2 linked regions of the Arabidopsis thaliana genome follow. The protein of the gene in region 1 interacts with the protein of each later gene in a pairwise test. Each region holds a gene or a part of one and is shown in the gene's direction. Other genes may lie near its edges.

Evidence for each region. The genes of interacting proteins can lie anywhere in the genome.
Region 2: the proteins of TSD2 (region 1) and RLP30 interact in a protein complementation assay, tested with the Arabidopsis thaliana proteins (one large-scale study listed by BioGRID).

The regions. Positions count from the first base shown.
Region 1 is NC_003070.9:29,432,285-29,438,507, reverse strand, and holds TSD2 (S-adenosyl-L-methionine-dependent methyltransferases superfamily protein), read left to right. Parts: upstream 1-1,833; 5' UTR 1,834-2,354; intron 2,355-2,662; 5' UTR 2,663-2,692; coding exon 2,693-3,381; intron 3,382-3,450; coding exon 3,451-3,580; intron 3,581-3,671; coding exon 3,672-3,912; intron 3,913-4,001; coding exon 4,002-4,215; intron 4,216-4,320; coding exon 4,321-4,496; intron 4,497-4,581; coding exon 4,582-4,885; intron 4,886-4,956; coding exon 4,957-5,098; intron 5,099-5,176; coding exon 5,177-5,335; 3' UTR 5,336-5,679; downstream 5,680-6,223. Other genes in the region: AT1G78230 (Outer arm dynein light chain 1 protein), read right to left, coding at 5,992-6,223. UniProt on the Arabidopsis thaliana protein: May be involved in the synthesis of homogalacturonan. Required for normal cell adhesion and plant development.
Region 2 is NC_003074.8:1,530,135-1,535,367, reverse strand, and holds RLP30 (receptor like protein 30), read left to right. Parts: upstream 1-2,006; 5' UTR 2,007-2,107; coding exon 2,108-4,468; 3' UTR 4,469-4,700; downstream 4,701-5,233. Other genes in the region: AT3G05365 (uncharacterized protein), read left to right, coding at 276-382, 661-800, 898-992; AT3G05350 (Metallopeptidase M24 family protein), read left to right, coding at 1,525-1,851, 5,112-5,233. UniProt on the Arabidopsis thaliana protein: Receptor for microbe-associated molecular patterns (MAMPs) that induces a BAK1-dependent basal immune response to necrotrophic fungi (e.g.

The DNA.
Region 1 (6,223 bases):
CTGATTAATTAAGAAACCTACTTGTTTATTTTGCATTTATTTAGCTAAAAGTGGTTATATATATCGGTGTAACCCGTTTGAATAAACTACCAGTTCAGTTTTGAATGATGACATATATGACATTTTACGCAAAAATACCACGGTATTATTAGTTTTGTTTAAGTTTGAAGTTTTATAGGTTAACTGTATGTTTCGTTATCTCTTCGTTTGTTTGTTTTGTGATTAATCATACATTTCCCAAAACACAATATATTATAAATGCTGAATGGTACCTTGTGTCTGTTTGCATATTGGAAATTTCTGGAGCAACCTGATCCCTTCTCTATCAAAGAATTTAATTGATAATTAATCGTTGGCGATAGCACTTTTACAAACATTTTCCCTTTACTTGTCAAAAATAATTATCAAGCAGAAAAAAAGGAAATAATGAATCAATTTCGAGAATCATTGAAACAGATAGTAACAATGTTTTGGAGTTGTTTTGTTTTTAATTTCTCTTCAAAGTGAAGGCTAAGGACAAACGCTATGCGGAATAGTTTTCTATTGCGTATATATAGTCGATAATAACAATATAACATGGCTAATTTTGTGTTACATCAATCATCCAATCTTCATATATTGTGGCTTATTCTATATTACATTATTACAATAACATATATTTTACGTGGCTTTTATGTTCGTACGTTGTTTTTATGTGATGATGCTATGTCAAATCATCCGTAGTATCTTTTTTATTTGATGAGTACAAACATATAAAACAAAATTGCAAATATTTCACCACCCTCTTACACTTTATATATTTAGGTACATGCAGATTTATAAATCCACTAAATAAATATGCATGAGCTGTGAAACAAAACAACTCAGTGACTCACTCGACTTATATCATACGGAATATAAGAAAAAATCAAATGAAATTTACCAAATTTACCATAAAATACAGATTTTGAAGATCAAATAAAAGTAGAAAATCTTATCGTGAGTGGGATATTTAAAAGTACAAAATTTGCCTCGTATTGACACAATTTTAACCTTATCGTGGTTGGCGTGTACAAGTGGGCAACTGGTCTCCTAATAATGCGTTTGGTAATAAATGATCGTGATTCTTAGAAATATCTTTTTCGCAAAAACATTAGTCTATGGATAAGAAGATAAATTAACCAAATCGATGAGTGTAAAAAAAACAAAACCAAATCGAGGACATTTGTGAAGAAACTCGTCTTATTCCAATTAGGGGACGATCACTCGTTTTCTTGCGAGAGGAACTTGGCCTAAACCGACCATTTTTTTCTCATGGAATTTGATCATGTGTTTTTTGTCCTCCTTTAAACAGTTCAAAATTTGATGAATAAACTACAAAGTCAACATTTTTACACATTCAGATCTGCATCCAAAACACCCATATTGTACCTTCTATATTCATGATTCTTTTGGTCATAATCATGATGTTTTGTTTCCACTAAACTTTATGATGTTTATATAAATTCCATTGACGCTATAAAACAAGCTCGATACATCTACCTTAAAAAAGATCATTAACTTTTCTACATAAAAAAAAAACAGTCCCCGTAAAAAAAAATCATTTACTATCGACAAAATAACCTTTAGGAAATCTCATGTTTGACCTAACACATTTTTTCAACCGGTTCATTAATTCTATAAATGTCAAAATACTATTATTGAACATCTTCTAATATTTTTGGTCAACTACTACTATAAAGCATCTTCTAATTTTTCAGTCGACCAATTAGTGAACTTAATTAAAAGAAATAAATGTTTGTTTTTATGCACCGCCAAGATTTCATATATTTTTTTATGGGAAGAAGAAAGAGACAGAAAGAGAGGTAAAAAACATTAAAAAGTAGAAAGAAAACAGAGCGTGAAGTTAATACGATTATAGTACTAGTAATTAGCAGTAGATAGTACTAATTAGACATGTACCCATGGGAAGCTTCTCTTCGTTCTCCCCCCTTAAATACGCTTAGGCATCTCAACTAATTTACTCTCTTTCTTTTGTTTATATACCAAAGCCAACGGAAGTGTTTCTTAATTCATTTTTTGTTTGTTTTGGTTTAAATAATTCAGTGTCTCACGAGCTGTGTCGAGATTGGATCCATACAAAATCTGCACGACGCCTGCTTCTTCACTCTCTCCCACTGTTCCAGCTTCAACTCTCTTGATATACAGAGAGAGATAGAGATAAAGAGAGAGAGAGTGAGAGTGATAGCTCTCGGAGAAATTGAAGAAGACACAATCTGATTAGTATTCTCCAATATTCCATCAACTTTTTGCTGAGGGAAATCTCCAGATTTATAATCGTTTGTATATATATATATACAGAGCAGCGTAGAAAAGTACGATTTTTGCTTCTTTTCCTCACTCTTATTCATCTTCTTGATTTTGATTCGATTTGGTGTTTATTCGCTTGATTAATTTAAGGGTTGTTGGGGTTTTTTGTCCAATTTTTCTGGGTTTTCGTTCGATTTCGATTTCCACGAGTTTACCAATTTCGTCTCTCCTCAGAATTTGTGGATCTGCTTATGTAAAAATTGAGTCTTTTTACTTGTTTTGTTCGAATTTGTTTACAAACGCGTGATCTCGAGTTTCAGAGATCTCAAAGCTTAAATTTTTATAATCTGATGGACTTGTTTTTTATTTACAGGGATCTTAGATTTATAGCAGCAACAAAAAAATGTCAATGCCACTACAACGTGGCATCTCTGGAGTACGAGTTTCTGATAGCAGTGATGATTTGAGAGACTCTCAAATGAAAGACAAAACTGAAAGAGCTCGTTCTACTGAGAACAACAACTTAACCTTAAGGTTTCCTTTTGGTTTCCTCTTTAGTAATCAATCTTCTTCCAAACACGGTGGTGGTGGCGAAAACGGTTTTTCTGCTGATCCATATAGTGCAAGAAGCAGGCATAGATTGATGTTGTTGTTTCTCAAGATCAGTTTGGTTCTTATTGTGGTTATTGCTCTTGCTGGTTCTTTCTGGTGGACTATTTCCATTTCGACTTCTTCCAGAGGTCATGTATATCACAATTATAGGAGGTTACAGGAGCAGCTTGTTTCAGACTTATGGGATATTGGGGAGATTTCTCTTGGTCCTAATAGGTGGAAGGAGCTTGAATATTGTAATATAGAATCTGAGAATTTTGTCCCTTGCTTTAATGTTTCTGAGAATCTTGCTCTGGGTTACTCCAATGGTGATGAAAATGATCGGTTTTGTGGGCCTGGATCAAAGCAAGAATGTTTAGAGTTGCCACCGGTGAAATATCGAGTCCCTCTTAGGTGGCCGACTGGTAAAGATATAATCTGGCATTCTAATGTTAAGATTACTGCTCAAGAAGTTGTGTCTTCTGGTAGCATAACCAAGAGGTGATGAATCGTTGCTTCTCTCTTGCTAAAGTTGACTGGTTCCATTGCTAATGATGCATTTTTTTCCAGGATGATGATGATGGAAGATGATCAGATATCTTTCAGGTCAGCATCTCCTATGTCTGATGAGGTTGAAGACTATTCCCATCAGATCGCTGAAATGATCGGGATTAAGAAGGATAACTTCATAGAAGCTGGTGTAAGTCACACACACATTCGAAAGAGTCAATCTTTATCTATCTCATTAGTTCAGTTTCTTATTTGCTATTTTCCTTTTAATACTGTTTCAGGTGAGAACTATCTTGGATATTGGATGTGGTTATGGTAGCTTTGGGGCACATCTATTGTCCAAACAGATTTTAACTATGTGCATAGCAAACTACGAAGCTTCGGGTAGCCAAGTTCAGCTAACACTCGAAAGGGGTCTTCCTGCAATGATTGGCTCTTTTATATCAAAGCAATTGCCATATCCTTCTCTTTCCTTTGATATGTTGCATTGCTTAAGATGTGGCATTGATTGGGACCAGAAAGGTAACAGTTTAATGACACCCCAGAATGATTTTTTTCATGTCCTTAACCCGATGGAAGATCCAACTTTACTGTTTCAATCTGCTGTGTAGATGGGCTTCTCCTTGTAGAAATTGACAGGGTTCTCAAGCCCGGTGGTTACTTTGTATGGACATCTCCGCTCACAAACCCTCGTAACAAGGATCATCTTAAAAGATGGAACTTTGTTCATGATTTTGCTGAAAGCATCTGTTGGACTCTTTTAAATCAGCAAGATGAGACAGTTGTCTGGAAAAAGACTATCAACACCAAATGTTATAGTTCCCGGTCAGTGATTCACACACACCACTGTTGTATTACAGAATCTGCATATGGATACATTTATGGTTATTTATCAAGTCCTCTAAAAATGGATGCTTTGCCTATAAACAGGAAACCTGGAGTGGGCCCTTCTGTGTGTACCAAAGGGCACGATGTTGAGTCTCCTTATTACAGGCCGCTTCAGATGTGTATAGGTGGAACACGTAGCCGGAGGTGGATTCCCATTGAAGGCAGGACAAGATGGCCTAGCCGGTCTAACATGAACAAGACTGAACTTTCATTATATGGTTAGTCTCCGTAGTAACAAATTGCTTCTGAATCCATATGTCTGCAGTTTTTGTTATCTCATTTTGATTCCTGGGGTTGGTTTAGGTCTTCACCCCGAGGTGCTTGGAGAGGATGCTGAGAACTGGAAGATAACAGTGAGAGAATACTGGTCTCTCTTGTCTCCTCTGATATTCTCTGATCATCCAAAAAGACCCGGCGATGAAGATCCATCACCGCCTTATAACATGCTCAGAAACGTACTGGATATGAATGCTCAATTCGGTGGTCTCAATTCCGCCTTGTTGGAAGCAAGAAAATCAGTCTGGGTCATGAATGTGGTCCCTACAGCTGGACCTAACCACCTCCCCATGATACTTGACCGTGGCTTTGTCGGAGTTTTGCACAACTGGTCAGTTCAAAAGCCTTATTGGATTTTCATTTTAGCCATAGAAGTGTTTCTGAACATCTCTTTTTCTTCAGGTGTGAACCATTCCCGACTTACCCGAGAACATATGACCTGGTACATGCAGACAATCTCTTGTCGCTTCAGACAAGTCAGCCCCGAAAAACATGTCTACTTATTGATATATTCACAGAGATTGACCGATTGCTTCGTCCAGAGGTACACATTTGTTTACTTTGTAAAGAACATTATTGTTTCTTGTATTCTGGTAGCTATAATAAACAAAACTTTGTACAGGGATGGGTGATAATCCGTGACACGGCACAGCTGGTGGAAAAGGCGAGAGAGACGATAACGCAGTTGAAGTGGGAAGCTCGAGTAATAGAGGTTGAAAGCAGCAGTGAACAAAGACTTCTCATCTGCCAAAAACCATTCACCAAGCGACAATCAATCTGAAGAAGAAGAAGAACATAGACACAGGTTTTTCTCCACTTTTTTAATTTTTTTGTTCCAATGCCTCACATTTTGGAATCAAATCATCCAACTTGTGTTGGCGATACGGGGAAGAAAGGAGGAAGAGATGAAATATATATCCCGCCGGGGACGTAAGACCGCCGGTGAAATTTCTTTATCTGGTTCCGTGAGTTCCCATTTTACAGAATCTAGATTTTTTTTTTCTTTACAACTTTGGTTCTATAACAACTCTTATTATACAGCGAAAAAAGAATATGATTCAATATTTGTGAAGATGTTTATGAAATAAGTTCAAAGCTTTTTAGTAAATTTTCACTGAGTTTCTCTGTTTGTTCACCGAATCCGAGATACTTACCCAACATTGTACCGTACCGGAATTAACCCGAGATTAGTTACGATTCTTTTTGAAATTGATTATATGAAAAATCTCCAAAATTGAGTTAAACCGGAAAGTGTTATTCGGTTTTACATGTTTCCGAGAACCGGATCAACTAAAAAGTAAAAAGACAGTAAACCAGAATTGAAACCGAACCGGAAACATAAGCGTTAGAAAAGATGCTGAATTATAAAATCAAAGAATGGAGATGGCTTTGCAATTTGCATTGGCCAATTCATGAGATTCAAACAAAAAGAACAATTCAATGTGATGGCGTCCCTGCAGCTGAAGTTTTTCTTAGTTGACGTTGGCTTCTGTTTTTGGATCCACGTCCTTTTGCAATGTGGCCTCGGTGGTGAACGCTAGGGGAGGCTGATCCAACAACACTCTTGGTGGATGTTCTTTTGCGCCTGTGGTGCAAAGAATCTCCACCACCAAACGCAGCTCTCGCTACACTATCTTTGAGAACTTCCCTGGCTCGTTGTGGCTTAATG
Region 2 (5,233 bases), on another chromosome or scaffold:
TTGAGCGCGTGTCTACGATTTCTAAAGGGGTTTGTCCACAGAAATCATGCCTTTTTTGATCCACGCAACTCACTCTCAAAAATCCATCGCGTGTCTTATTTTTTTTGGTTTTCTTCTCTAAACCAAATTAAACCGAACCGAGATCAATTTGAATTTCAAAACCAATGTAAACCCATCAAACCCATCGCTGTGAAAACAAAAAGCTCGGCCACTGTAACAACAAAAATGGAGACGACACAACTTGGAAGAGAAATCAACTCTAAATAGCCAAGAGAATGTTCGAAAACCCCCTCAAATCCGATGCTTCCTTTGATTCCAACCTCCAAAAGCCCATCTGCTCAAATCTTCATTTCGAGGATGAGGACTCGAGGAGTATTACAAGGTACCTCAATAGAATCAATGGCTTCCATGGATTTTGAAACTTTACTTCTAATAAACACCATTGTAATGTCTTGTTGTGAAGTTGTGTAAGGAACAAAGGATAGTGAAAGCTGAAGAGTGGGATTCGTTTATGGAGTTTCAGAGTTTTTTTTGACTAAGTGGCCTCTGTTTTTGATTCTTCAGTGGTCAATTTTGTGATGGGATTTGATTGAAATTGGAGAATGATTTCATGAAATCTCTTCGGGCTGAGGTTGATTCATGACTCTTTCATTTTTCTAGTGTCTCATTGATGATAGACATAAGAAGCATACTTAAGGCCATAGAGAGTGGTGAATTGGAGGCAATCAAGCCTTTGCCTTGGTACCCTAAGAATCTTTCTTTTCACGGAAGGAGATTAGAAAAAACCAGATACTTGAGAGGTACATTTTCATGCCAGTTGCTTCAGAACAAGTATTCACTTCCATTCCCTTACTTGTGTTAGTTCAGCGCTTGAGAAATATTATGATCTTGTTTCAGACTTTCAGCTGTCAAGAGACAAGGCCCGTTTTACTATCAGGTTAAAATCATGGTCAGCTTCTTGTCCCAAACCACATTGTTGCAAGGTTTTGTAATAAATCTTGGCTCGATAATGCATTCAGAAACTTCTTCTACTCATATCTCAAAATATGTTTTGAATTCTAAACCCCATGGTTATCAATATAAAGAATATTAGTATCTATTTTTCTCTTTTCTGGTGTGGTTGCAATTTATCGTTTGTCTCTTTCGTGGAAACCCTTAATTCAGGCGGTATTAAGTCTTTCTCATAAAACTTTCTAAGTCAAACCAAAATTCCAATCGAAATTCTCAGCATGAAAGTCTCGAACACGTTTACATTTCTTACGCACCCAAAGACTCTTGCTTCTTGCACACGTCTCTCTTGGCTGTCCTTTACCATAACGAATTTGATGAGATTGTTTCAAAATAAAATGTTTCTTTTTGACAAGTCTGGGATTTTAATGTAATTATCAATAGTCATGCACATTATACAACATTTAAAAGAATACGGGGGTTGTTTTGCAATTTTCAGTAGTTATACACATTTATCCGTAATCACTCTGCTCAAGAAGCTTCTCCTCTTGTGTGATTCTCCTGCAATCGCTGGTGATGATTCCTCTAACTCTTTCGTCGCCGTCTCTGAATCGGCTCGTTTTATCCACATCACGTTACTCACACTCTCTATTTCTCAGCAATTTCAATTCGCTCTCTCTGATCCACCGGAAATTACCGTATAAACCTCTTTTTGGCGCAAGGTGTCATGCTAGTAGCAGCAGCAGCAGCTCTTCCTCCTTCACGGCAAAGTCTTCCAAAGAGATTCGTAAAGCTCAAACCAAAGTAGTTGTCGACGAGAAGCTTAGCTCGATCCGGCGACTGTTTTCGGAGCCGGGTGTTGGAATCGACGCTTATATCATACCTTCACAAGATGCACATCAGGTTCTCTTTTTTTAAACCTCTTCTTAACTCGTGATTACGAATTGAATAGGAAGTTCTAGTAGATTCAAAACTGTTCAATTGTGTGTGTTTTTAAGTCAATTATTGGTCCAAGTGGGCAAGTTTGACTATAGAAAGGAGTAGGTAGAAGTCTACTAGAGAGCTGCAAATTTGTGTTTTGTTTTCTATTTTTCTCTCTCTCTAAATAGAGACGTAGAAGCCATAGCTATCATAACCTGTTACTTACAAAACAAACAAAATGATTCCAAGCCAATCTAATTCCTTTTCTGGTAGTGTTATTACCTTGTATTTCTTCCTCCTGGGTTCCCTTGTTCTACGCACTCTTGCTTCTTCTAGGCTTCACTATTGCCGCCATGACCAAAGGGATGCTCTTCTCGAGTTCAAACACGAGTTTCCGGTAAGTGAATCGAAGCCAAGTCCATCGTTGAGTTCATGGAACAAGACTAGTGATTGCTGTTTTTGGGAGGGTGTCACGTGCGATGATGAATCTGGCGAGGTGGTTTCACTTGACCTTAGTTATGTCCTTCTCAACAACTCTTTGAAACCAACTAGTGGTCTTTTCAAACTCCAACAACTCCAGAACCTGACTCTCAGTGATTGCCATCTCTATGGAGAGGTTACTTCTTCACTAGGAAACCTTTCTCGTCTCACGCATCTTGACCTTTCGAGTAATCAGCTGACAGGTGAAGTTCTGGCTTCGGTCAGTAAGCTAAACCAACTTAGAGACCTTTTACTTTCCGAAAACAGTTTTAGTGGTAACATTCCTACTTCATTTACCAATTTAACGAAGCTTTCTAGTTTAGACATCTCTAGCAATCAGTTCACATTGGAAAATTTCTCTTTCATACTACCAAATTTAACCAGCTTGTCCTCCTTAAACGTTGCCTCTAATCACTTTAAATCCACGCTTCCATCTGATATGAGTGGACTCCACAACTTGAAATATTTTGATGTGCGTGAGAATTCATTTGTCGGGACTTTTCCTACATCCTTATTCACGATTCCTTCGTTACAAATTGTTTATTTGGAAGGAAACCAGTTCATGGGACCTATAAAGTTTGGGAATATATCTTCATCTTCTAGGCTTTGGGATCTAAACCTTGCTGATAACAAATTCGATGGGCCAATCCCTGAATATATATCTGAAATTCACAGTCTCATAGTACTAGATCTTAGCCACAACAACTTAGTTGGGCCAATCCCCACTTCTATATCAAAGTTGGTCAACCTTCAGCATCTTAGTCTTTCAAACAATACCTTGGAAGGCGAAGTGCCAGGTTGCTTATGGGGATTGATGACAGTGACACTTTCCCACAATTCTTTCAACAGTTTTGGAAAGTCATCATCCGGAGCTTTGGATGGAGAATCAATGCAGGAGTTGGATCTTGGTTCGAATTCACTTGGAGGACCTTTTCCCCATTGGATCTGCAAGCAAAGGTTCTTAAAGTACTTAGACTTGTCCAACAATCTCTTCAACGGCTCAATTCCTCCTTGTTTGAAAAATTCCACTTATTGGCTTAAAGGGCTAGTTCTGCGTAACAACAGCTTCAGCGGATTTCTCCCAGACGTATTTGTCAATGCTAGCATGTTATTATCACTTGACGTTAGCTACAACCGGTTGGAGGGAAAACTTCCAAAATCCCTGATCAATTGCACTGGTATGGAACTTCTGAATGTGGGAAGCAACATAATCAAGGACACTTTTCCATCCTGGTTGGTTTCTTTGCCATCATTACGTGTCCTCATCCTCAGATCTAATGCATTCTATGGGTCGTTATATTATGACCACATATCTTTTGGGTTTCAACATTTGAGACTCATTGATATATCACAGAATGGCTTCAGTGGAACTTTGTCACCTTTATATTTCTCCAATTGGCGTGAGATGGTGACATCTGTCTTAGAAGAAAACGGCTCTAATATAGGTACAGAGGATTGGTACATGGGCGAGAAAGGGCCCGAGTTCAGCCATAGTAATTCGATGACTATGATATATAAAGGAGTAGAAACGGACTTCTTGCGGATCCCATATTTCTTCAGAGCCATTGACTTTTCTGGAAACAGATTTTTTGGGAATATACCTGAATCCGTTGGTTTGTTGAAGGAATTGCGTCTTCTCAATTTGTCAGGTAACTCATTCACAAGCAATATCCCTCAGTCATTGGCAAATTTGACAAATCTTGAGACATTGGACCTATCCCGGAATCAGCTATCAGGTCACATCCCTCGAGATCTTGGTAGCCTCTCTTTTCTGTCGACCATGAATTTCTCCCATAACCTTCTCGAAGGTCCAGTTCCACTAGGCACTCAGTTTCAAAGCCAACATTGTTCTACATTCATGGACAACCTCAGACTCTACGGTCTTGAGAAAATCTGTGGAAAAGCTCATGCCCCGAGTTCTACACCACTAGAATCCGAGGAATTTTCGGAACCAGAAGAACAAGTGATTAACTGGATAGCAGCGGCAATAGCCTACGGACCTGGTGTGTTTTGTGGATTAGTTATTGGACATATCTTCTTTACTGCACACAAACACGAGTGGTTCATGGAAAAATTCCATCGAAACAAGCGCAGAGTAGTCACCACAAGTGCTCGTTGAACACCATCACCTCTCACAATTTCTCTGAGTGATTGTGAAACGTATATGTTTGTTATGATATCTGTCAGTTGTGTTATGCATAAACTCTTTGTCTTTGTAATTTTCTACTTTATGGTATTGTAAGAAACGGCTTTGGTGGTATCTGATCTTCTATATGTTGGGTTGAAAATGCATTCAGATTTTTCTTCCTAGTCAAATCTCAACTTGTCATAAGAGGATGTTTCAATTGTAGAGCCAAATGGAAGTTCTTCTTCTTCTAAATCACAGTATGAAATTCTCCAACTCGTGTTTTATTTCATTCTCCCCAAAGTTTCTTGCTCCGCTCACACGTCAATCTTGCTGTCCCTGAGTATACCAAATTCGATTTGGAGATTCAAGATAAAAAATAAATATGATTTGGACCAGTGCGGGGGTTGTTATGCATCTATGCAATTGTTTTTGCCATTTTGATATGGGTAATGTGTTGTTTCGGTGAATTTTACATACTAGGAGCTTAAGATCTACTTTCATAACTGATGTTGCCTGTAATATATTTCTGTGCCATTAGGAAAGTCACAAATTTATGTTTTACTTCTAAATGTATCCATAAACTGCCTGAGTTTTTCATGGCTTGAGTGTGATTTTTCTCCATATTTTGTACTAGAGCGAGTTCATCGCAGAGTGCTATGCCAGGAGGGCTTATATATCAGGATTTACTGGAAGTGCTGGTACCGCTGTTGTCACCAAGGATAAGGCAGCTCTATGGACAGATGGCCGCTATTTTCT